3 linked regions of the Arabidopsis thaliana genome follow. The protein of the gene in region 2 interacts with the protein of the main gene of each other region in a pairwise test. Each region holds a gene or a part of one and is shown on either strand. Other genes may lie near its edges.

Region 1 (8,600 bases), on a different chromosome or scaffold from region 2:
AATAAAGAATTTGAGTTCATATAAAGAAAAAGTATATAAGTAATTTTGAAAATAAAATAAAATAGGGGTGATGGAGGAAGACAAGAAAGAGGAATTTGGTGCTTGGTGTTTGTTTGTAAGCATTAAATAATAAAAGGAGAAGAACTAAGAAACATTAAATAAGGAAGAGAATAAATATGGGAAGAAACGACACTTCCTCTCCGACAAAGATTTTGGAAGCGTGTTAGAAAGAAAACTCAACCCTATTTGAATCGGAAGGACCAATTTGACTGTGGACCAAATTGTTAGCATTAGATTTGATCCCACAGTTTAAGACTTCCAATTACTATAATTTAGTCGGTAAATTTTGTAGACTATTTTTTTTGAAAAAATATTGTTCTAAGACATGCGAGTATTCTGTTAATATAATTATTACTTTTTATATAATAGAGAACTCCAATTGTTGAAACAGATTAAAACAAAGATTTGGTGTAGAAGATGATCAAATATTACATGAAAGAAAATTCTGTAGTTCATTCTTGTATATTTTTATAAGATATTTAGTTATATTATTTATTTGAATGAAGAAAGAAACAAACAAAAATGTAATATTTTGAGATGTCTAAGGAGTATTAAGATGTCCAGACTAACTTTAAATTTTTCTCCGAAGATTTATTTTGAGATTTTTTTTCGTTTTAATATTTTTGATCAGTTTATGACGATAATAAAAATAAACGAAACTTTTCTTAAATCTATAGTTGGGAAAGTGATTGATTTTCGTAAAAACCATTTTCCAACTAATATAACATATGATAGGAAAGTAGTCAGAAAAATCTTACAAAAATGTGCATGGAAATGGTGGAATTTACAGGTAGCATTACACATAATCATTTCATCATTAAATGCTAAGTTTATCCACCATATTGGCTTGGTTACAGAGTCTAAATAGAAATTGCAAGAGTTACATCCTAGTTTTGTCAAACTTTGGACTACACTATTACAGTTTCGCCTCTTGTAAAGAAAAATCGTTGAAGAGAATTTCGATGACCAGTTGTGAATGTCCTGGACTAAGTTAAAGATCTCACTTCTAGTTGTAGTCCCGGTAATAAATACGAAATATAGGATTGTATTGTATTGTATGTTTTCTGACTCGTATATTACAAGTATATGTAAGGATTTCTTGGAAATTGAAATCACTGGGAAACAGAATATTAGGGATCTCCAAACCCTAGGACATTGATTCCTTCGAGATTACTGGTCTTCTTCGTTGTAGGCAAAAAAAAATGGTATTTATTGTTAATTTGTATTTTTCTGATCATGCTTGGACAAAAAAAATGACTCGTTCAGGTTAGAATTTAAAATTAAGTGTATGCGTCATATGACACAATGCTCTCGTCATCTTGTGTCTAACAGAGTGAAATAAAGAACGAACAATTGTTTGTATACACACAAATACAATCGCACCTACATGTGCACATATTTTATTACGCTTATCTATAGAAAACTGTTTGATACATTTTTTCATTCTAAAGTAAATACACAATCCAAAAAATACTATGTCATGTTAAGAATGTTTAGTATATCTATTTATTTTAGGACAAGGAACATTTAACATATAGTAAACAGTTTTAACAAAATTTCTCTGATTTGAAATATATTTTTTATATTATCAGTAAAAAGAAAACTGTAAAGGTAATTATAGTCGTTGATTAAGATTATACTTAGTTTTTTAAAATAACATGTTTTAAAAATTTTGCAAAATAAGTTTTTTTTTTTACATGTCTCATAATTTTTGTCCTCAGTTTATGTTAAAAATATTTTGTTATTTTGATACTAACATCTTCCATACGCTGAAAACATCTTTGAGAATATTTTTCAAAACACAATATACAAAAATCCACAGTGACTTTATTCCACGATGAAATGATATCAAGACATATATGTTCTTACCTTTACCTTTCAACGAAAATGAGAGAAAAAATATATATATATAGTATCACTTTTAGAAAATGTTTTTTTTTGCTAATTAATTATTATATAAAAATGTTGAGAGCAACTTGATCATATATGTAATAAAGTCGCAGTGAAAAAAAAAATGTAATAAAGTCGCATACCGACGTTGTGACTCGTTTTTATGTAATTGATTAGTTAAGTACAGAGTTCGTTAGATGTATTTGCATTGTTACAATTACAGAAAACCCTACGCAACACAATTCAGTACTTTTTACGTCAGCAAAAATAGAATCTTTCGTTGAAAATAATACCAGAATCGTTCTTGTCTTTAATTTTCTTACCTTTTTGTAATTGGATATGATTTTTGACTATGGAATTATTATTATTTTATTCTATAAAATTATAGTTTTTATTATTGGAATCATTTATAAATGCTATTACTCAGTGTTCTTTAAAGTCCATACTAACGAATTCAAGTACTTATTTAACAAAACAAAACAAACAAATACTAATAAACTAAAAGTACAAACATTACTATGTTATTAAAAAAAGCATATAGCTGCGTGATTTTAAAGGTATATGTGACATATAATACAACGACGCCGTCGTATTTTATTGAATTTTTTTGTCACTTTTAATTAGTATACAGTGAGGAAATAAGCAAAAAGAAAGAAAAAAATATTGTTGGCTCGGCTAGTACCTATAAATAAAAACACTAGTATTTGGCCCAGGATATAATCATTGCAAGTTTAGAACTAGTTAGCTAATCTAAACCGTTAGATCAAAGAAGCAATCTTACTAATCAGAAAAACAAAATTCAACAAGTTACAAGAATGAAAAAAATAGGGATAAAAAAAAGGATAATTCATTTACATTCGATCAAAAGGCGAATGCATAGATCATAGATGCAAGACACTTGTGAGTTGTGATATAACCAAAAATTTATTTAATTATATGTAATATATATTCGAAAAATTTATACACCGTATATAAAATATTCGAATAATCCTTTTCTTTGATTTAAAAATATTTTCTGCTTGTTTTCTCAACTCATGTATTAATTTAAATAATAAAAGTAGCTACCACCTTTCTCTGCCCCACTTTAAGATAAAGCTAAAGCATGGAAAAAAGCATGGGAAAAAAGTAAATATATGATATACAATCAAATAAATCTAAAAAAATAGAAAAGAAAAATTAAAGGAACGAAAAAAAGAGGGAGGAAAAAGACAAAATTAAAAAACAAAAATAAAAATTCCAAAAAAATTAACATCACATGTTATCAAATGAGATCAAAATTTAAGTTAGTTTTGAGTTTTCTCTCTCTTTCTCTTCTCTAAAACTACTTAAGCTAAAGAATCAAACACTTCTCAACGTTTCTCCAAAGCCTCTGATTAGTAAACACATAAAGAGATCTATAGAGAGAGAGAGAGTAGAGATAAAAGGTGATGAATAGAGGTGTGTTGGAGAGTTCGCCGGTTCAGCAGCTGATGGCAGCCGGAAACCCTAATTGGTGGAACGTAAGCGGCGGCATGAGGCCACCACCACCGTTGATGGGTCATCAGCAGGCGCCGTTGCCACCACATATGACTCCTAATAACAATTATCTCCGACCACGGATGATGCCCACTCCCTTCCCGCACTTCTTGCCATCTCCGGCGACTTCTTCTTCTTCCTCTTCTTCTTCACCGTCTTTGCCTAATAACCCTAATCTCTCTTCTTGGCTTGAAAGCAATGATCTCCCTCCTGAGTCTTGGAGCCTTAGCCAACTTCTTTTGTAACTATCCCTCTATCTCTCTCCCTCTATAAATATTCCAAAATGAAATATTCTCTATACGCACATGACATGATCTTGTGTTTACTTACTAGTTCACTCTTTGTTTTCTCGTGTGTTGCTACTTAGTCCTAATTACCTTTTTGTTATACGTATATACGTATATACATGTATGTGTTTGTATTTTAAGTATCAAACAAACAATCTAATATTTTGGATATTTTCTTTGTGAACTTAGGGGTGGATTGATGATGGGAGAGGAAGAGAGATTGGAGATGATGAACCATCATAATCATCATGATGAACAACAACACCATGGTTTTCAAGGGAAGATAAGATTGGAGAATTGGGAAGAACAAGTGTTAAGCCACCAACAAGCTTCCATGGTGGCTGTTGACATCAAACAAGAGGGTAACATTAACAACAACAATGGCTATGTCATATCTTCCCCGAACTCACCTCCTAACAAATCTTGTGTTACAACAACTACCACAACAAGCCTCAATAGTAACGACGATAACATCAACAACAATAATAATATGTTGGATTTCTCTAGCAATCACAATGGTCTTCACTTGTCAGAAGGGAGACACACTCCTCCGGATCGATCCTCTGAGGTAACACTTTTTCCACATCTCAGAGATTTTGATAATATACGGAAAAAGCTCGGAAATAATATCTAGTTTTACACATAAATTAGTAAACACATCAACTACTATGAAAAAGTGAAATCTAAAACGTCATTTAAAAAGATCAGGACAACATATTTTATTTTAAGGTTTGGATCTAAATTCAACACGCAACCAGGATGAGTTTTGCTCTGAATTTTTTTTGATTAAATGACTAATTGATCTTTGTTTTGTTTGTTATCTATATATGTGATGCAGTGTAACAGCTTAGAGATTGGTGGGTCTACTAATAAGAAGCCAAGGCTCCAACCTTCTCCTTCGTCACAATCAACCCTCAAGGTAACTAATTGATTATATCAACGAAACTTTGGATAACTTATATAACGTTTTCTGTATATAAATTCCCTCCCTGACATCATACTAACAAAACAAAAACACAAACACAAAGGAGAACAGAAGAAGCAAACAAAACAGAATGGGCACAGAATAAGCTGTGTGGTTTTGTGTTTTGTAACTCTTTTGTTCTCTCCTGTTTTGTCTTCTTCTTCATTCTTCAATATTCCTTTCCTCTCTTTATTTCATAAAAATCAAACTTAAATTAATAAATTTCAACATTCTCCTTAGAATTAGACGACACTATATGTAATAAATTTTATTTTATAGAATATGGACATTTTGAGAGATTTCAAAGTTCTGTCAAAAAAAAAAAGAGATTTAAAAGTTTTGTTTTTTTCTGTAACTTGTTTTGAAACGTAGAAATGGAAGAGTCGCATTAGACATTGGATTCAATAATATCATGATAATTATATATACTAGTGAAAGTAAAATAATTGTTTATCACTTGTACATGCTAAGTAAGCACGTTTTCTCTATGCATGGTAATTAGTAAAAATAATATGACCACACATGCACATATATATAGAAAGCTTTTTAATTGATGCTATTAATTAATCTATGGTGGTAATTAAAGGTGAGAAAGGAGAAACTAGGAGGCCGAATCGCAGCGCTTCATCAGCTAGTATCTCCATTTGGAAAGGTAAAGATCGATTCCATTAACAAATCAAATTTATTAATGTCGTCTAATATTCCTCTATCAAATCAACTTTTAACATTAATTGTGGAGATTTTTTTAGTTTCATTCTTGTTAATCTAAAATCTAAATCATTCTTCATCCCTTTTTACCCATCTTTTGCAGACTGACACAGCCTCTGTCCTGTCGGAAGCTATTGGATACATTAGATTCCTTCAGAGTCAAATTGAGGTGTGACTCGTCTTTTCCAAACTCCAAATATTCTCATTCAGTAAAATAAAAATAATGCTTATGATTACTCCGTTTACCAAAAAAAAAAAGAAGAAAAAAAGGTTGTGATTACTGAGAAATAAATTACAGAATAAAGCATAATGATATTATATAAGAAAGAATAAAGATAGTAGTATAAAGTTTTGTTCTCTCCATGTTAAGTAATATTTGATTGATGTGATTATATATAAAGTATTTATGACTTTTTGCAACTGTTGCACTGTTGCAGGCTCTGAGTCATCCATACTTTGGTACGACTGCCTCGGGGAATATGAGGCACCAACAACATGTAAGTAGCAAATTTTCGTATATATACTGATATACACAAACAAATCATCATGCTATCGTTTTATACCCTTAACTTCTTCTTTTTCGATAACCTACACGAAACTTTTTATACTTATATATTATCTCTTAAGTCTTAACTATGGTTTATATGAATAGTTGCAAGGAGATAGGAGTTGCATATTTCCTGAGGACCCTGGTCAGGTACGTCCATTTTTTCTTGGTCACTATACTTTTAATATATAATTAGAGTCACTATACTTTTTATTGGATCAATTGAATCCAAATCTAAAAAATGTGGACAGCTTTAGTTTCCAAAATTTATCCTTTTTTTTCTTTTGTTTTTTTTCTTTTCTACTGTTTTCTTTAAAGTAAAGTTGGATTAATATTAAAAGATGCAGCGGCCAGCTTTTTTTTCACCCTCCCTTACATTATTATAAACCAAAAAAGTTCGTTAAAACCAACAAAGCCACTAAATTTATTTAAATATCAACTTTTTCTCCTTACTTGTTTTCTTCATCTAAGTGAAATTCAAATTCCTTTGGCGGGGTTTTATATATGCTTTTCACTAGGGGAAATTCAATGATTTTTTTTCTTATCACCTCTTTATATAGGTGTTAGAGAACATGTGTTTACTTTTTTTGTTAATCAATGCTATATATCATGATTGTTTTTTTTTTTTTTTGATATGGTTTTAGCTCGTGAACGATCAGTGCATGAAGAGAAGAGGAGCTTCGTCGTCATCTACGGACAATCAAAATGCAAGTGAAGAGCCTAAGAAAGATCTGAGAAGTCGAGGTTTATGTCTTGTCCCAATCTCATGCACACTCCAAGTAGGCAGCGACAACGGCGCGGACTATTGGGCTCCAGCACTTGGCTCCGCCGGTTTCCATTGAGCCAATGAAATTACGCCACGTGGAATTCCAGCGTTAGAGAAAAATGATATAACATCACGAGCAGTCAGTCTACTGAGAAAACAACAAATTGAGTTTCCAAGGCTGATTGCTCATGATGCTATACAAAGTTCTTCGTTTAAAACTTTGCTAGAGAATTTGCGTCTGGCGTCTGATGAATATGCGTTTGGCGTTTCATCATTTGATGCGTTATCAGATGATATGACCAAGTGATCAATTTATGTTCTTGCTTTAGGAAACTGTTTGTTTTCTTTTACCGGTTAATTGTAATTTGTGGTTAAGTACTTATTTTAATTACTTCCACGTGGTTTGTATCGTTATAATTTTGCTATTACTTATAATATGTCTATTGTGTGGGATATATACGACATGCAGACCATTAAAATAAAAAAGTGTGCCGGAAAATATCGATATAAGTTACTTCGTTTGCCTTTTTCATGCGTAGTTCTTAATTCACGTAAATGATCATCCACAATGAAAAAAGAAAAAGAACGAAAAAGTTCAGAAATTATGAATCTTATTAATTATTATTGATAATTATTTTACTTCACTCCACCATATGTGTGAACTAGTGGAGCCTTGGAGGATCACTAACAAAGAAGAAAATAAGAAACAAGATATATCATCACTTTTTGAGAACTTGCTCTTCATTTAAACGGTTCATTTCTTCTCTTTGAAGTTACGATCATCAAAGAACTTCTTAGGGTTGCTCTCAAAAGCCTCCCTCTAAACGCTTTGTCGTCCACCAGATCCAGGAGCAACCATTGTTTTACCGATGTCGGAAGTGCTACCAGAACCACCGCTTCCGCCACTCGTACCAAAATTCTTGGCTCCATCAGCTTTGGTGTTCTTGGCGTCCATGGCTTGATTTTGGGATTGGAAACGATTATAAATTGAAGGTTTGGTTATTTTGTGAATCATGAATTCGACTGTTGAGACTTAGAAAATGGATCGTATATAGACACCAAGTTGATCTGATAGAATGATAGTAATTTGTGAGTTGTAACAACACGAAATAATGGTCAAATTGGCATGGAATGTAATTACTAATTACTGATGTTATTTCCATGTCAATTTGTAACAATTTTCTCGTAAACTAAAAACGCTCAATACAACAGACACGGCCCATCTCTTAAGCCCAACCAAATAATCTTTGTCCAGTTATCGCTTGGCTCCCTTATTCGATGCGTTTGCCTTACGAGTTTTGACATAACACGCACTTTTTTAATACGCATGTGGTTCGAGTAACGCCGGTTCAGTTTTGTCAATTAAAATCTATAAGACTATAAATACATCGTTTTGGTAGAGTACTATTCGGATCAATAATTATGCATTGTTTTCTTATGTGTAAAAGAATGCATGCTCCATACCAATAAACAAACATATGATTAATATACTTTATCTTTTGCAGTGGATGATGTGGATCATATTATTGAGGAACATAATATAGTGGATTAAGGAATTTATCCATAACACCCGATCCAACAACAAATTATTATATTGATCAAATAAATCATATTATTATGTCGAAAATGACAAAATAAAATAAAAATCCATTACTTCACAGAAAACTACAGAATCTTTCCACCCATAAAAAGCAGACCATCAAAAGAGGAAAAAAAGTAGAAAATCCAACGTTTATTCATACTATAATGTTGAATGATGGAAAAACAAATACAGTGCAATATTTTCAGTTATATATATATACACGCAAATAGCTTATGGAATTCCCATATTAATTCCTTAGTAGACGGAGACGTACAGGTGGC
Region 2 (7,437 bases):
ACTTTTGTCCTGACAAGTTTGTAGCTGTTTGCACCAAAGCTGTTTCCCAATCCGCAGAATCATCCTTAAACGCTTCCCATCCTGGACCAGACTCTGAACCAGAACCGCTTGCGTATGGCCCGTCAAATAAAGCCAACGCTAAGCTATCTCCAGCTTGTCCTGCTTCACCGCCGTTTGTATTCCCAAGATCAAGTAAATCACCCATTTCTTCTTGTTTCTTCTCTATGATCACTTCTTCCTTTGCTTCTTCCTCAGGTTTTACGTCATCTTCTTCTTTTGGTGGAGGTTCAGGTAAGGCCTTTATTGCGTTCATATCTTCTTGCTCTTCATTTACTTCCTCTGTTCTCGCTTCATCATCATCTTCATCGGCTTCAGATTTAACAGATTTTGATTGCTTGGTGTGTTCTAAAGCAGATTTGTCTCTTATAAACTCATCCATGAGATCAAGCTTCTTCTGTGTGATCTTCTCTATCTCTGGATACTCAGAAGACCGTGCGATCCCCATGTTCTTACACCAAGAGTAGAACTGATCGAGCTCTTCGAATTGTTTCGAGACCCGGCAGAAAATGTCATAGACCTTGATCGAATCAGGAATATCTAACTCCATGAATCGTTCAATCAAAATCCCCATTATCTCTGTTACATCGTAATATATCTGAAAACTCTCCTTCACTATCGGATACAGAGCCACAATCACAACTCTGTTGTTCCTCGCATTACCTGTTAACAAAATAACATTGGTCCTTATATAAATTTTTATCCAAGAAACAAACACACACAGAGAAAGAAATCTTGAGACGCAAGTTATTACCTGTTGGGCGACAAGCCAAGAAACGGTCAAGAAGTTGCTGCAAATGTTGGATTCTGATGAAAATCTGCTCTGTTTTCATCTCGGCGATCGGTTGTGACCTGACCACGATAGCCGTGGAGAGATCTGCCGCAGCTTGATCCTGTTCTTCTTCGTCAGCTTCTCCTCCAACGCAGTAAACTCCACGTTTCCCGTGTCTCGCTTGCATCCTCAAAAATTGCAATGAAAAAAAAAAAAAAACCGCATATCTTAGATATCATTCAAATTACATAAATAACTTGAAATCCCGAATCGGAACCTGGATCAAGCACAAGAACTCTTACCTGAAATCAAGCCTTTCGTCAAGGTACAATGCGTAAGTCCTGACAAACGCAGAGTAGTCCCAAGAATTAGACCTCGAAACATCCCTAAAATCAGACATATTGAGAAGCCTTGTTCCACGGCGAGTGGCGAAGAAGATCTCTTGCTCGTAGGCTTGATCTCCTTCTCCTAAGAGCCTTTGGATCAAAATCAAGGTTTTGAGGGCAACGGTCCAGCATTTGGTTTTATTAAGGCGTCTCGAAAGCGTGCTAACGCAAGCGTTGATGTAACTGCGTGAGTAAGAAGTTAGGCTAAGAATCTCTCTAATGTATTTCTCTTCTGCTGGAAACTCTTCGTGACGAGTGGCTTTGACGATGGCTACGTCAAGTTCAGATAAAGAAGCGCTTCGACCATTGACTTTGGCTAGACCGACGCTGGTTTGGTCCTTTACGGCTCCTATGGCTCGTTTAAACTTACTCGAACCCATTTTTATTCTGATTAGTTAGTAAATTTGTATTAAAGACAAAAAAAAGAAAAGAAAATATGTAAAAGAAAAGATTTGAAGAGAGAAAAGGGAAGAACGAGGCTTGTTTTTATTTTGTTTTTGTTTTTCCTCGTCGTTTCCTTTTTTCTCCTCTGTTTCTTGTTTAGTTTTGTTTTGTTTCTTCTTCTTCTTCTTCTATGTTTTTGTTTGTTTGTTTCGTCAATGTAGTTTCTTTGTTGTTCGTCGATTATTCACCATCTAAAGTCGCCGAGGTTATTGGAGGCTTTGTCCGGTGAGAAATATGGCCACGTGGCAAAAAATTAACTTATTGTTTGACGGGTCAACTGAAATTTAGTTTGCATTTGCCATTAATGGGTAAGGAGAAGAGTACTGATTAAAGAGGAAAAAACTTTCTTCTAATTTGTAAAAAAAAATACACCAAGCTTTTTTCTTATGGATTGGAAGCCCAAGATTGAATTATGGAATCCAACAAATCAAAATCGATCCAAGCCCATTTCTGCTGACATATTTTTTACTCGTATTATATTCAGAAATGCCACAATTTTGTTTTGTGAAAAATAGAAAAACCCTTGTCTCTCAAAATGGAAAACGAGTCGGACAACGGTTCAGCACTAAGGAGAAGCAAGTTGTAATACCATATGGCAAAATGAAACGTGTCATTTTTATATTGGATATTAGAAACTTTACTCCATGAGTGCTAAATTTCGGAAAAAACGACAAAGACAGATTTTTTTAAAAAAATCTTATTTTCTACCACTAACGAGATGACGACGACCCCGACAATGCGTAGAATTTTTCCCATATCATTTATATATTTTAAAAAAAGAAAGTTATATTGGTTTTTAACATTCTACTAAAAAGAGTTTGGTAAAAGACCTTTTTCTTAATTTGATATGAATAAATTGAAGAAAGTCAAAACAAAAAGCCCACTTCAAAACAAATAAAGCCCACTTCAAGTTTCTGGAAGGTATATAAGAACAAGGGCAAAACCGAAAATAAACCACAAAGTAAGGTCCTTTTAACAAAAATAAAATGAAAGAGAGCATAAAGTGAGTCTTTTTGTCATATCCTTTCTCGTCTGTGTCTCTTCGTCCTCATTAGCTTAAGCATCATCATTCTCTCACCTAACAACTCCACACAAGATTCTTCGCATGGAAAGTTGTTCTTCGACTTCTCTTCTCTAACTCGCTATCTTTTAACTCACCCAGCTCCACTGAGTCGAAAATTTCAAACCTTTACTCGTTTCCTTCATGGCTAATAACAACAACATCCCACATGATAGCATCTCCGATCCATCTCCTACCGACGATTTCTTCGAGCAGATCCTCGGGCTTTCCAACTTCTCCGGTTCTTCAGGTTCTGGTCTCTCTGGAATCGGCGGCGTGGGTCCACCTCCGATGATGCTTCAGCTTGGTTCAGGCAACGAAGGGAATCATAATCATATGGGTGCCATTGGAGGAGGTGGACCTGTAGGGTTTCATAATCAGATGTTTCCGTTGGGATTAAGTCTCGATCAAGGGAAAGGACATGGCTTTCTTAAACCTGATGAAACTGGTAAACGTTTCCAAGACGATGTTCTTGATAATCGATGTTCCTCTATGAAACCTGTAAGTTTCTCTTCAGAATCTTCACTTTGTCTTTTTCTTTTGTGTTCTCGAGAAAATAAAGTGAAATTCAAATCTTTAGGGTTTCAAAATGGTGTCGTTTTTGAGAAAACCCAGCTTAGGTCTAAATTTGATAGTTACCGAGAGTTTTTGGCTCAGATTGGTGAGATTTGATGTTTTTGAAGAAACCCAAGTTGAAGATTTTGATGTGTTTTAAAGTCATAACACTAAAATTAGTTTTGCAAGAAACTTTAGTATAAAAGAGTGTTCTTTTATGTCCAAATTATATTGTAAGAAAATTTGCTCTTTAGTTTCTTTTCTCATGTGGATAATTCCGTCATAGTTTGAATTGTTGCTATAACTACTCTAGTGGCGACCGTTCTTGTGAGAAGCGGTTTTTAAGCTTTTCTTAATGTTATTACGGCATTGTTTTGTGTTTTGTTGAAGATTTTCCATGGGCAGCCAATGTCACAGCCAGCTCCACCAATGCCGCATCAACAGTCTACTATTCGGCCTAGAGTTAGGGCTAGGCGAGGTCAAGCTACCGATCCACATAGCATCGCTGAGAGGGTAAGATGTTTGATACACTTTTTTTATCTTCTGGTCTCTTTTTTCGATTTTTATGTGATAATGTTTGATCAAAGCTTTAATTATAGCTTTTGGTTGAGAAAGTTCGATTAGTTCTTACTTACTAAGAACGGTAAGACCTAACCTGAATGTATTTGCTTTGCAACAGCTCCGAAGGGAAAGAATAGCAGAACGGATCAGGTCGTTGCAGGAACTTGTACCTACCGTTAACAAGGTTGGTATCTTTTTCTCTAGAGCTTCAGCTACTGTTTTCATGTCGCGAAGAGAGCTTGAAAGAGATTTTAAAAGTAGGGAGAAAACTAGAGTTGTCAATGAGAGAAAAGTTTTGTGATTGGCATATAGAAACTGCGGTATTCACATCTGTTTCTTTTGCTTTCCTTTTGCAGACAGATAGGGCTGCTATGATCGACGAGATTGTCGATTATGTAAAGTTTCTCAGGCTCCAAGTTAAGGTAAACACCCAAGTCATTTTCAGTTTTCTATTCTCTGGTTTTTGAAAATGCTATCATTAAAAGTTTGTAGAAAGATTATTTAAAACAGCCAGAAGGATTTAGTGGTGTAAATCCTTGGTCCCCACCACCACCTACTCTCTTAAACCAAACTTCCAATCTTAATAAAAGATTATAATTGTTTAATCTGGCAATAAAGAGTAATCAAAGAGTACATGATTGTGTGTTTTTTGGCATTAGTGTCTTTCACTTTTTGCTTGCTTCCCTCCCATGGAGAATCATCACAATTGAGGACTATTGTAATAAAGCTAATGAGAACATTGAAGAATATTTTATGCAATGATGGGCTTTGATAATATTTTTCCTTCATAAGCTTTATCTCTGGTCAACTATGGCAGGTCCTGAGCATGAGCCGTCTTGGTGGAGCCGGTGCTGTCGCACCACTAGTCACTGAAATGCCATTATCTTCATCAGTTGAGGTTAGACTAGAGAGAGATACTTCATTAAAAAAAGAACAGAACTTTGGTAATGGTTTTTCTTGCACTGACTTGTGGTGTAAAAACTTTCTTCAGGATGAGACGCAGGCCGTGTGGGAGAAATGGTCAAACGATGGGACAGAGAGGCAAGTGGCTAAGCTGATGGAAGAAAACGTTGGAGCAGCGATGCAACTTTTGCAATCAAAGGCTCTTTGCATAATGCCGATCTCATTGGCAATGGCGATTTACCATTCTCAGCCACCAGACACATCTTCTTCAATCGTCAAACCAGAGATGAATCCTCCACCGTAGATTTTTGTTCATCCAACGGTCCCCAGCTGATGATTGACATTTTGCTCTGTTTCCCACTACTAGACTTTTGTGACTCATGAAAGGTAAGTAAAAAGGCATTGGAGATGGAATCTAAGTAGGATTTGTGCAGTAAAGAAGTAAAACGGGATCTGTCAAAAGAAGGAAAAAGCTCTCGCTTGCTTGGCTAGTATTTATCATTTTGATGAAAGTAACTCTTTTTTGTTCAAAGACTTTAGTGTGATTTTCAGGACCAAGGGCTTTGAGGGTAGTGCTAGCTGTAGTAATAGTAATGAAGGTGTGGGATCGTGTTTCTGAATTATGTAAAAAAGGAAGAAAAAACAAATGTTGGTATTATATTATGGTTTTGCCTCTCTTTTTTTTCTTGCACTAATTTGGATAGACCATTTAACTATTCAAAATGATATAGTTGGGAGCTGGACTGATTATAATTAGGTAATTTCCCGCGCATTCAAACACTTTATGCATTAGAACTTCTAATTTAGAAGTATAAAACACATTGTCTGAACAAAATCCGTGAGTATGCAGAGAACACTAGCATACACAGTTTACTGCGAACAAATTGCTTATTGGAAGTTTCCGTTGCAAGAAAAAGACATTGTAGACCAAAGGCAATCTTCCCTTGAAGCGCAACATTGTCTTTTGTTATTCATCTTATTCTGTTTCGTCCAATAGCCCCCTTGAAAGTAGATTCAAATGTTCATAGATCTGATCAGTAGATCAGCGTTTGTCTTTGACTTTATTATCAGCTCTGCGTTGGGTCGGTCATTATAATCCACCTGCCATCCAAATTTGAAAAAAAGAAGCAGCTAGCTACCTTGAACAAACCATTGAAACCATGTAACTGAATATTAAGTAGAGTAGAGCCAGAGCTTTTACCCGCCATTTAGCAACATCTGGGGGTTTACCTGTAATTCACAAAGGGAAAACGGATTAAACAAAAGCGAGATTCTCTGAGGTCATTGCGGGTTCTCAAGAATCGAAATAAGAGAAATTGTACACACCAGTTGAGATATGCCGGTTTTCAACACGTTGCATTGCTGTATCGAGATTCACATCGATGAACCTTGAATTGAAGATGGAAAGACATCAATTGGTAAAACCGAACTCAAATACCACGAGTGAGTGAGAAAAGGAAAAAACACTTTTGATTAGTCTTTACCATTTCTCATCAAACATATCTGAGATGTCTTTCCAAGACCCTTCTTCTAACAAGATGTAGTTTCCTTCTACAATTACCACTTTATGCCTAAGAAGAGGACATAAGTTAGCTGACTGTCTCCGGAATAGGCAAACAAAACCATTTCATATTACACTAGATTCGGATTTGACAGATTTAGGAAGCTACTGACTACTTACTGGAGGCTAACAAAGATATCATCTTCAACTGGATCCCCAACTCCATGATCAAATGATGGCACATAAACTGAGCCCTGGAAAGCTTGAAAACTAATCAGAGTCTATTGTAAGTCTCCCAACTTCAAGATCCTAAGGTCAACAAGATTTTGTAACCACCTCTTTACCTCGTTTTTCAGCTTCTTTAAACAGTTAAGCAGTAGTGCAGGATCAAAAGTCCACGGAGCTGATTAGTGGATAGAAGGGTCAAACCAAGTTTGAACATTTCGAAAAAATCTTTGAATAAGACAATTATAACAGATCTCACCCCCTCTTCTCGCATGGGCTTCTTTGGGATCCTAGAGTGACAAAACAAAATACAGAATTCCTCTTAAACAACAAAGAGAAAGAGACATAATAAGAGAAATATAACTCAGCAAAATATTATGAGCTCAACCTCCATAGCATCGAGTTGCGAACGATACAAATGGAAACCATCCATGGGAAGTACTATAGCAACATCCGGTGGATTAACCTCAGCATCAAAAGAAGCAGCTTTCTGAGGCCATAGCTTATTTACACGACGCACAACTTCATTTGCTACTGTACTTTTCCCGGCACCAGGAGGACCAGCCAAACCGACCAAACGTCTACACGAGTCAACACACAATTCATAGGAGTTATCTAAAAACTCGGGTGCAGCTAACAGAACAGAACAACATTTAAAGAGTAGCAAACTTACTTAAGATTGGGGCTAAACATTGCCGCTGCTGTAGGGACAAGACGTTCCGCCAACTTATCATAGATCTCATCCATACAACTTCCAAGAAGCAAAAAAAGAATGCATCAATACTTTGGTAGAAGCAATGAGAAGAGAAGTGAACAAAACCACATATGAGATTTTACCTTCCATCAACAACAGTGACATCTTTCTTCTGACTGCAAGAAATCTGCAAGAGTCGATTAATTTCAAGTTGAACACAGAAGAGATTAAGCAAACAGAAGAGAGAGTCAATATGAATTTAAAATTGTTTGATTTCGA
Region 3 (7,135 bases), on a different chromosome or scaffold from region 2:
GCGAAGTATGAGGTTTATGAACCAGTTCGTCCAAAGAGAGTGCCTTTAGTACTGCAGTTTGTGACAGAACCTCTGAGAAAACTTTCCCCAGTCTCTGTGGAGTGTTGCAGTGAGATCCTGAGGCCTTTTTTGCATGTTCCTGCAAAAGTGCCAGGTGAGACAGGAAGATAATAAGTAGGAAACAACCCGATGGTGCTATCATGAAGAAAGAAAACAACCAACAAAACCTCATAGCTTGTGTCACTGCTGACAGATCTGATGTTGGACTTCGAGTTCTGGCTCGAACTACTTTGTTCTCCATTTTCAGGAGCAAGACTACGGCTTCTTGAGTGAAGTACCAATGCAGAAGAGTTGTTTCGTGAGAGAAGAGCGCGAAGGGTAGTGAGCCAGAACTCAGCTTCATCCTTGTCCTTGCATACCTATCAACGAGTAAGAACTTGTTAGAGATTGATGTAGCAATGGAGATTGCATGTGGTCTTCAGAAGACAGCTAATGCCTGTGGAATAATACATGTCAGGGAACAACAAGAAAAAGACTACAGGGAGGAAACTACTAACCAAATCGAGAGACCGTTCGCCATATATAAGAGAAAAGGATTGATATTCCTTGGTGGGTTGAGGATATCGTCGGAAAACCGCCTGGAAAAGTTCTTACAATAACATTCTTCTGTTCAGAAATCTGCAGCAAAACAGTTACCAGATAAAATGATTCATACATTTTAACTTACAGTTCGCTGTCCAGGTATGATCCTTGTCACAGAACTCAGTTTAAGACGTTTCTCCTTTTTACCACAATACCATAACAAATATATTTCATCCTGCAAAAGTTTTGAGAAAACCACTATCAAATCACAATCTTCAGCTTTGAAATAAACTGTGACTGAAGGTTATGAATTAGTACACTTGAAAGCCGAAAAGGGTAGAATTTAGGCTTCCCACGGCGGCCGTATTTCAAAAGATAAGCCCCTTTCTTCAGAATTGCTATCGCCTGAACCAAGTTTTATGCCAAAAGAATCAAACTTTAGGAATTGAAGATGATCTTTACTAAGAGAGTTTGGAACAAACCTGCTCATTCTCCCTATCTGTGGGAACACTTCTCTGGAAACAAGCCATTCCAAGTTTTGAGCACCAGATAATCCCAATGCTCGCCCCATATAATAAAACCCCTTTTGCCTTTGATATCCAAAGAGGTTCTTTACCTAAGCTTTCGAATCGAAAACCTCATCAAGACGTCTAATAACTACTTCTGCTTTCTCCTATGGAATCGCATTTGCATTCATCATTTTTCCCTTGAAATATAGAAATAACCAAATCATCTACAATGCGGATTACACAAAACAGGATTGATGATCAAAAATCATAGAGAAACGCACCTAGTTCCTTGTTCCGCACGCCACAATGCGAAAATATATTTTTGTGGAACAAATCGAATCCTATTGAAATTACGGAACAAACATATGTTGAGCTTGGAGCAATTTAGACGAACTAATATCCCTCGTTAGGTTTCTGACTTGACTCTCCCGAGAATCAGACAGATCTTTGTGTTGGATTTGAAACGTGGAGCGAGAGAATAAAGAAAAACATAACAACAAGATTCTGACCCAGCGACGACGACAACAACAACAACAGATAAGAGAAAAAAGGTCTGTGTCTTCTCCTTTTGTTGGTCTCAGATGCGTTTATCTGTTATTTACAGTTGTTTCCATTTCTTCTCCTTTTTTCAGGTGCAATGTTTTTTCAGTTTTATCCATCTTATTTTATCAAATATATCAAAATAAAATAAAAATTCTAATATCATATAGATAGATACTAGGATGATATAAAACATTCTCTTTCAATGTAAATGAATAGAACAAAACTTTGATTAATTCTTCTCTAAACCATTCAACATTTCAAGCCATCAACAAGACTACCATAGAGGTGCTATAGACTTTTAGCAATTTGTAGAAGACAAAAAACGAGAGAGAGAGAGAGAAGAATCTGAAAAACAAAAATACAACAAAAGTTTGGTGTGCAATAACAAATAGTAATACATGTTTTTGGTAAAGAAGAGCATTGATAGAGAGAAAGATTTACTTCTTCTAAGGTTTATAAAAGAGTGTTTTTTGAGTCCATGTAATCAAATCCAGTCTTCTTGGAAGAAGCTTATTTCTACTACTCATCGAAGGTGCTCAAGAACCCACCAATGAAACCAGCTCCATTGCAGTCCCCACACAACACCTCCTTTTTACCTCTGCCCACAAGAAATGTAAAAATATATATTAAGTAATGAGTTTATGTATGTGTTGTGGAGAAGGAAGAATTAGAAGAAAGAATATAAGATGTAGCAAACCTGCAAAGCCAACAGAGTGCACCAGCTTTAAACTGACCATTGAAATGATCAATCAAATTCACACCACCTCCTTTGCATTGAGAACATGCCACACAACCTTTGAAAAAACATCTTTATCAAATTACTAACCAATTCAGGAGTAGAAAACTAAGAGAATTATAAAACAGGTAAGAACTTACCTTCCCCTTCACAATTTGCACAAACTAAACTGTTTGGTTTAGTGCCCTGAGGATTATTGTTTGCGGCCTATTGATACCACAGAATGAGATTTTGCATTAACGAAATGGTCAATGAAGTAAGCAAATTTTATAGAGAAGAGAAGAGTTTGGGAAAATTCTAACCTTAACTTCAAAACTTTGGGATCTTGAAGTCTGAAGCAGTTCTCTCTTCTGTACCAAGGAAGAGGTGTTATCATTAGTTGAGAAGAAGTGAGAAGGTTTAGGGTTTTTGCTTGGAGATTGGAAGCAAAAGGTAGGAGGAGAAGAGAAGAAGCATAGTGAATTCGCCATTTTCTGTTTTCTGATTCTTCTTACCCACTCGATAGCAAAGATAAGATGGCTCCTCTCACTTCTCTTTTTCTCAAGTGCCTATTTTACCAAAATACCATCATATTCTTTATCCAATCCAAACCAAAACCTATTAACCGGTTTTGTCTTTTAAACCCAATTTCACATTTTAGTTTCCATTAGAAAGCTTTTTTCTTAAAAAGAAATTTGATTTTTTTTGTTCTGTTTCTGTGTTTTTAGAATCTTAAGACAAAAGAAAATGACAATGGTTAGAGCTAATTTACTTATTTATCTCAAACGACCCATCAAGGCCATAACTTCCTGATCCTATGAACAACCATCAAAAACAAGAAATAGCCAAGGCCAAACCCACAAGGACATCAGAACGATGTATTAAAAAATACAAAACCAGAGTCCTTCATAAGTTGCCATGTCTTATAACTTGCGTTGCTACTCCATGTGGAGCCGTTCAAGACCTCATTCACTGGCTTTCAGCCGCTCTCCAAGTAGCCGAGAAGACCACGAGTCAGCCGCGCTAGCATACCTTGGACATGGCTTACTCACATTTGAGCTATTAAACATCAAAGGCTGCTGCGCTTGAGTCATTTCTGAGATATCTTGTGTCTGGGGATCAGGTTGTATTGGAAGGACAAGAACTGTTGCAGGAGGATGAAGAGTTGTAGCAGATTGTTGAAAGCCGGGGCCTTGGAAAATGGGAAGTCCTGGGAACTGAGATACACGTTCAGGATGTTGTTGTTGATAATGATGATGATGGTACTCGGGTGCAGGAGAGGTGTTCAAGTCAGGTTTCGACTGATTCGCTCTAGCTTCAATCTCGTTTTGTAGTTTCGAAATCTCAGTCTCAAGCACTGATGTTTCTTCCTTGAGCTCATTCTTCTCTGTGGTTACCTACACACAACACCAGTTTCCATCAACAAGACCATTTAGAAAAATACAAAGATGAAGTAACTTCTTGAAGCAACATTCGTCTTAGTTGTTGATTCACGTCACAGAATACATAAACACAATCAATGTGCATATAGAAATTGACTTACATAGCTAGATTCAGATAGGAGAGAAGCATGCTCCTTTCTAAGAGACTCAATTTGACCAAACACGTCCTTCAAGAATCGAGTAGCTTCGCATAGTATAGAAGCTTTCCCACTGTTCTGTTGATTCAGTTCTGCAACAAAGAAACATGTTCACAGTTAGATATCACAATCACATTCAAAATATCACAACACACTCGAGCAATTGTTCATTCAAATCTACGGAAAGATGAGAAATTTACCAAGAGTATCGGCTAATTCAATGAAAAGCTCATTCAAATGCTCACGCTTAAGCCTCTCACGAACGGCCTTGTTGATCCTTTTCGGTACTTTACCTTTTCTACATCTGTTTTATACACCAAACATAATCAATCCCCATAAATAAAAATAAAAGGTTCCATAATCTATTTCCAAGAATTGTCTCCTTAAGAATCACCTTTCATCTGCAGTAGCATTTGCTTCATCAGACGATGTAGAAGGAGTTTTCGATACCATCTTTGCTTTTATTACAGAACAAGATTCTCTGTCAAGTCACCTAAAATTTAGACATAAGATGATTAATCAAAAAGAACAGTGATCTTAATGAATCTAACAAATCATTCATCTTTATAATCAATCAATCACTCCTAATGTCAAATAAACACAAACGCACCAAGAAACATAGGAGCAGAAAAAAAAAAAAAACTTTCGTGTGATTTTTGATTCCTCAAAAACTGAAGCAAGTGTTTTAGATTCTGTCTTTATTACCCATATTCTTGTCAAATCAAATAGTGAAGAATAATTCTCAAAAATTACGGCTAAGTTCTCAACACAACAGATTCAGAGAAAAGAACTACCTTTCTTTCTCCGGTGAGAATCTCGTCGGAAACTGTAGACGATTAGGATTCGAAACGAGTAGAAGAAATAATAAGAGAATCTGAGAAAATGAAGAGTGAAATTGTTTTTTTTGGAGGAAGAAGGTCCGAAGTTGAGGAGGGCGTGTGGAGGCGCGTGGAGAGCACAGAAGAAGGTGGTGCGTTTAAGTGGACACGTGAGTTCGACATGTGCCTTTCTCTTTTTTACTTTTGTCTTCTTCTCTTACGTTGCGTGCCACTAAAGCTCATCTCTCATGGACACGTCATCGTATCTTTAATTAATAAAATAATAATATTAATCGAGTGGAAGAGTGGTTTAAATCGGGTAAAGTTCTATTAATGGAAATGTTTGTTGAGTGTAAATAACATTGTATTTTCTACAGATTAATCGGGTAAAAAGTTGTACTATCTGTTTAAGAATTTTATCGAGTAGATGAAAAGTAACATTTTCACAAAAATATACCGTAGAACACCAAAAAAAAAAAACAGGGGCATGTGGGGTCAACGTGAAGGATAATAAAGGCATGGAAACGCGCCGTCGAGAGCTGATGACGTGTCTGTCGTGTGTTTCCCACAAACTCTATTTATTGACGGTATGATGATTAGTATACACATTTTTAATGGCATAGTCAAATTCAGTGGGTGAGGAAAAATTGAAGATAGGAAATTAAAAAGAAATAACGAAATTATATTAATCTGCCTATTCCTCTTCTCCTTCATTTTGAATTCAAAAACCGAAATACTATATATAGTTTTGCGGTTCGAATGATGACTGTATTTTGTGATACGGAAAAAGTATGGGACGGTTCAAATAATAACAAAAATACATAGATATATATGTATATATAGAGATTTTTTATACTGTTACAGTTACGGTACGGTTTTGGGGGCGGTCTATGTCACCATTCATACACTGTGATTAAGAAACATACAAAAGGCGTTTTCTTGTTTTTTTATTAAAACTACAATACAGTTACCAATCAATACTTTTAACAAATTTGCGTTTTTCGAAAAAAAAAAGAAAAAAGTTTGCAATTTTGTCCTAAAAACAATACACTGGAATGCTTTTCAAAAGAAGAAAAATCATTTACCTAGTGTTTTTGCTCAAAACCGCATTCCAACAAAAAAATCGTTCATTACTCCATTACTTAAGCAAATTGTTATGTCCTACGTCCCAACCAAAAGTTTCTCAGCCTTTGCCTCTTCCATACACACATCCCTCGTTTATTACTCCATTACTTAAGCAAATTTTAATTTTTTTTCCATTAGCTTCCCCATTTAAATATATGTACAAAAAAAGAGAGTATATGTGTGCATCAGAATCACTAGTTACCTAGTGCATAAAAGAAAAAAATATACGTAGGACATAACAATTTGCTTAACTAATGGACTTTAATATATATATATATATATATATATATATATATATATATATGCAATAATTATAGTTTTATTCTTTTTATTTAATTAAAATCTAAGAAAATGTAATTACAAGAAATAGAAATATCATAATACTTATAGAAATTTTGACAATTATTATCCACTATAAGCTTATATAAGTTCTATAATCAATTTACTAGTAAAAAATTATGATTTTTTTTTCAATTTTTTATGATGAAACTATTCAACGAATTTAATAATATGTATGTTAAACTTTAAAAATGTATATTTTGATTTATTTATGTATTAATAATTTATAAATATATGTTATTGCTTATTTATTAACACAAAAATAATAATTAATTATTAATATATATATATATATATAATTTATAATCCGCACCGCAAATAATTTTTTCATCAATCAAACATTATTCTGTACCGCTTATTTTGTACAAACCATATTTGTCCCGCAAATATATTTTTCTCGCACGTACCGTAATTGAACTGTACTGCAATGTTATACCACTTTTCTCACATATTAAAAACCGAGGTTACCATTCGGACCATAATATATTTTTTCATCAATTGTTTGCATTATAAAAAGAAAAAAAAAAAGAAGAACAAATCGGAGGGTTCAGATTTCAGAAACAAAATACCGAACCGCTAGGTCGTTGGTTTTGCCGGTTCGTTTGCACCGGGATTTTAGAGCTAGACAGGGACCAAATAATTAAGCGGATCGTGGGTATTACCGGTCCGGGTCCGGAAAAACATCTGTTAGAAACTAATCTCGTTTGGCCCAAACCCAAAAAAGCTAGCTTCACGGCGTTTGTTGTTCTTCCTCGCTCTTCGCCGCCTTCACTCGCAGTCGCAGGTAAGCTTCTTCAATTCCCCTCTTAAATCAACTAACGCTTCCTAATTCCTCCTCTGGCTTCGTTCCTCTCCTTTTTTCCAAGGTTTGTGTCAATCTGAAATCAAAATGATCAAATGATCATGAACTTAATTGTAGAAACTT

The links.
Region 1: the proteins of AT1G03040 (region 2) and AT4G29100 interact in binary tests that used the Arabidopsis thaliana proteins (3 or more experiments, as listed by UniProt).
Region 3: the proteins of AT1G03040 (region 2) and PYE interact in binary tests that used the Arabidopsis thaliana proteins (3 or more experiments, as listed by UniProt).

What each region holds. Positions count from the first base shown.
Region 1 is NC_003075.7:14,337,763-14,346,362, forward strand, and holds AT4G29100 (basic helix-loop-helix (bHLH) DNA-binding superfamily protein), read left to right. Parts: upstream 1-3,202; 5' UTR 3,203-3,377; coding exon 3,378-3,706; intron 3,707-3,941; coding exon 3,942-4,320; intron 4,321-4,590; coding exon 4,591-4,671; intron 4,672-5,302; coding exon 5,303-5,368; intron 5,369-5,527; coding exon 5,528-5,593; intron 5,594-5,861; coding exon 5,862-5,921; intron 5,922-6,076; coding exon 6,077-6,121; coding exon of another isoform or gene 6,122-6,163; exon of another isoform or gene 6,164-6,615; coding exon 6,616-6,813; 3' UTR 6,814-7,251; downstream 7,252-8,600. Other genes in the region: AT4G29103 (uncharacterized protein), read right to left, coding at 8,526-8,600.
Region 2 is NC_003070.9:701,884-709,320, reverse strand, and holds AT1G03040 (basic helix-loop-helix (bHLH) DNA-binding superfamily protein), read left to right. Parts: upstream 1-2,656; 5' UTR 2,657-2,863; coding exon 2,864-3,220; intron 3,221-3,664; coding exon 3,665-3,787; intron 3,788-3,953; coding exon 3,954-4,019; intron 4,020-4,191; coding exon 4,192-4,257; intron 4,258-4,652; coding exon 4,653-5,042; 3' UTR 5,043-5,472; downstream 5,473-7,437. Other genes in the region: AT1G03050 (ENTH/ANTH/VHS superfamily protein), read right to left, coding at 1-720, 812-1,017, 1,132-1,595; AT1G03030 (P-loop containing nucleoside triphosphate hydrolases superfamily protein), read right to left, coding at 5,753-5,839, 5,940-5,968, 6,065-6,126, 6,223-6,309, 6,420-6,493, 6,584-6,642, 6,724-6,754, 6,853-7,045 and 2 more.
Region 3 is NC_003074.8:17,565,281-17,572,415, reverse strand, and holds PYE (basic helix-loop-helix (bHLH) DNA-binding superfamily protein), read right to left. Parts: upstream 5,291-7,135; 5' UTR 5,214-5,290; exon of another isoform or gene 5,212-5,213; intron 4,941-5,211; exon of another isoform or gene 4,723-4,940; intron 4,571-4,722; 5' UTR 4,539-4,570; intron 4,422-4,538; 5' UTR 4,382-4,421; coding exon 4,323-4,381; intron 4,233-4,322; coding exon 4,129-4,232; intron 4,021-4,128; coding exon 3,893-4,020; intron 3,747-3,892; coding exon 3,315-3,746; 3' UTR 3,031-3,314; downstream 1-3,030. Other genes in the region: AT3G47660 (Regulator of chromosome condensation (RCC1) family protein), read right to left, coding at 1-419, 558-649, 728-817, 901-987, 1,065-1,095, 1,199-1,224; AT3G47650 (DnaJ/Hsp40 cysteine-rich domain superfamily protein), read right to left, coding at 2,154-2,232, 2,332-2,428, 2,511-2,577, 2,673-2,840.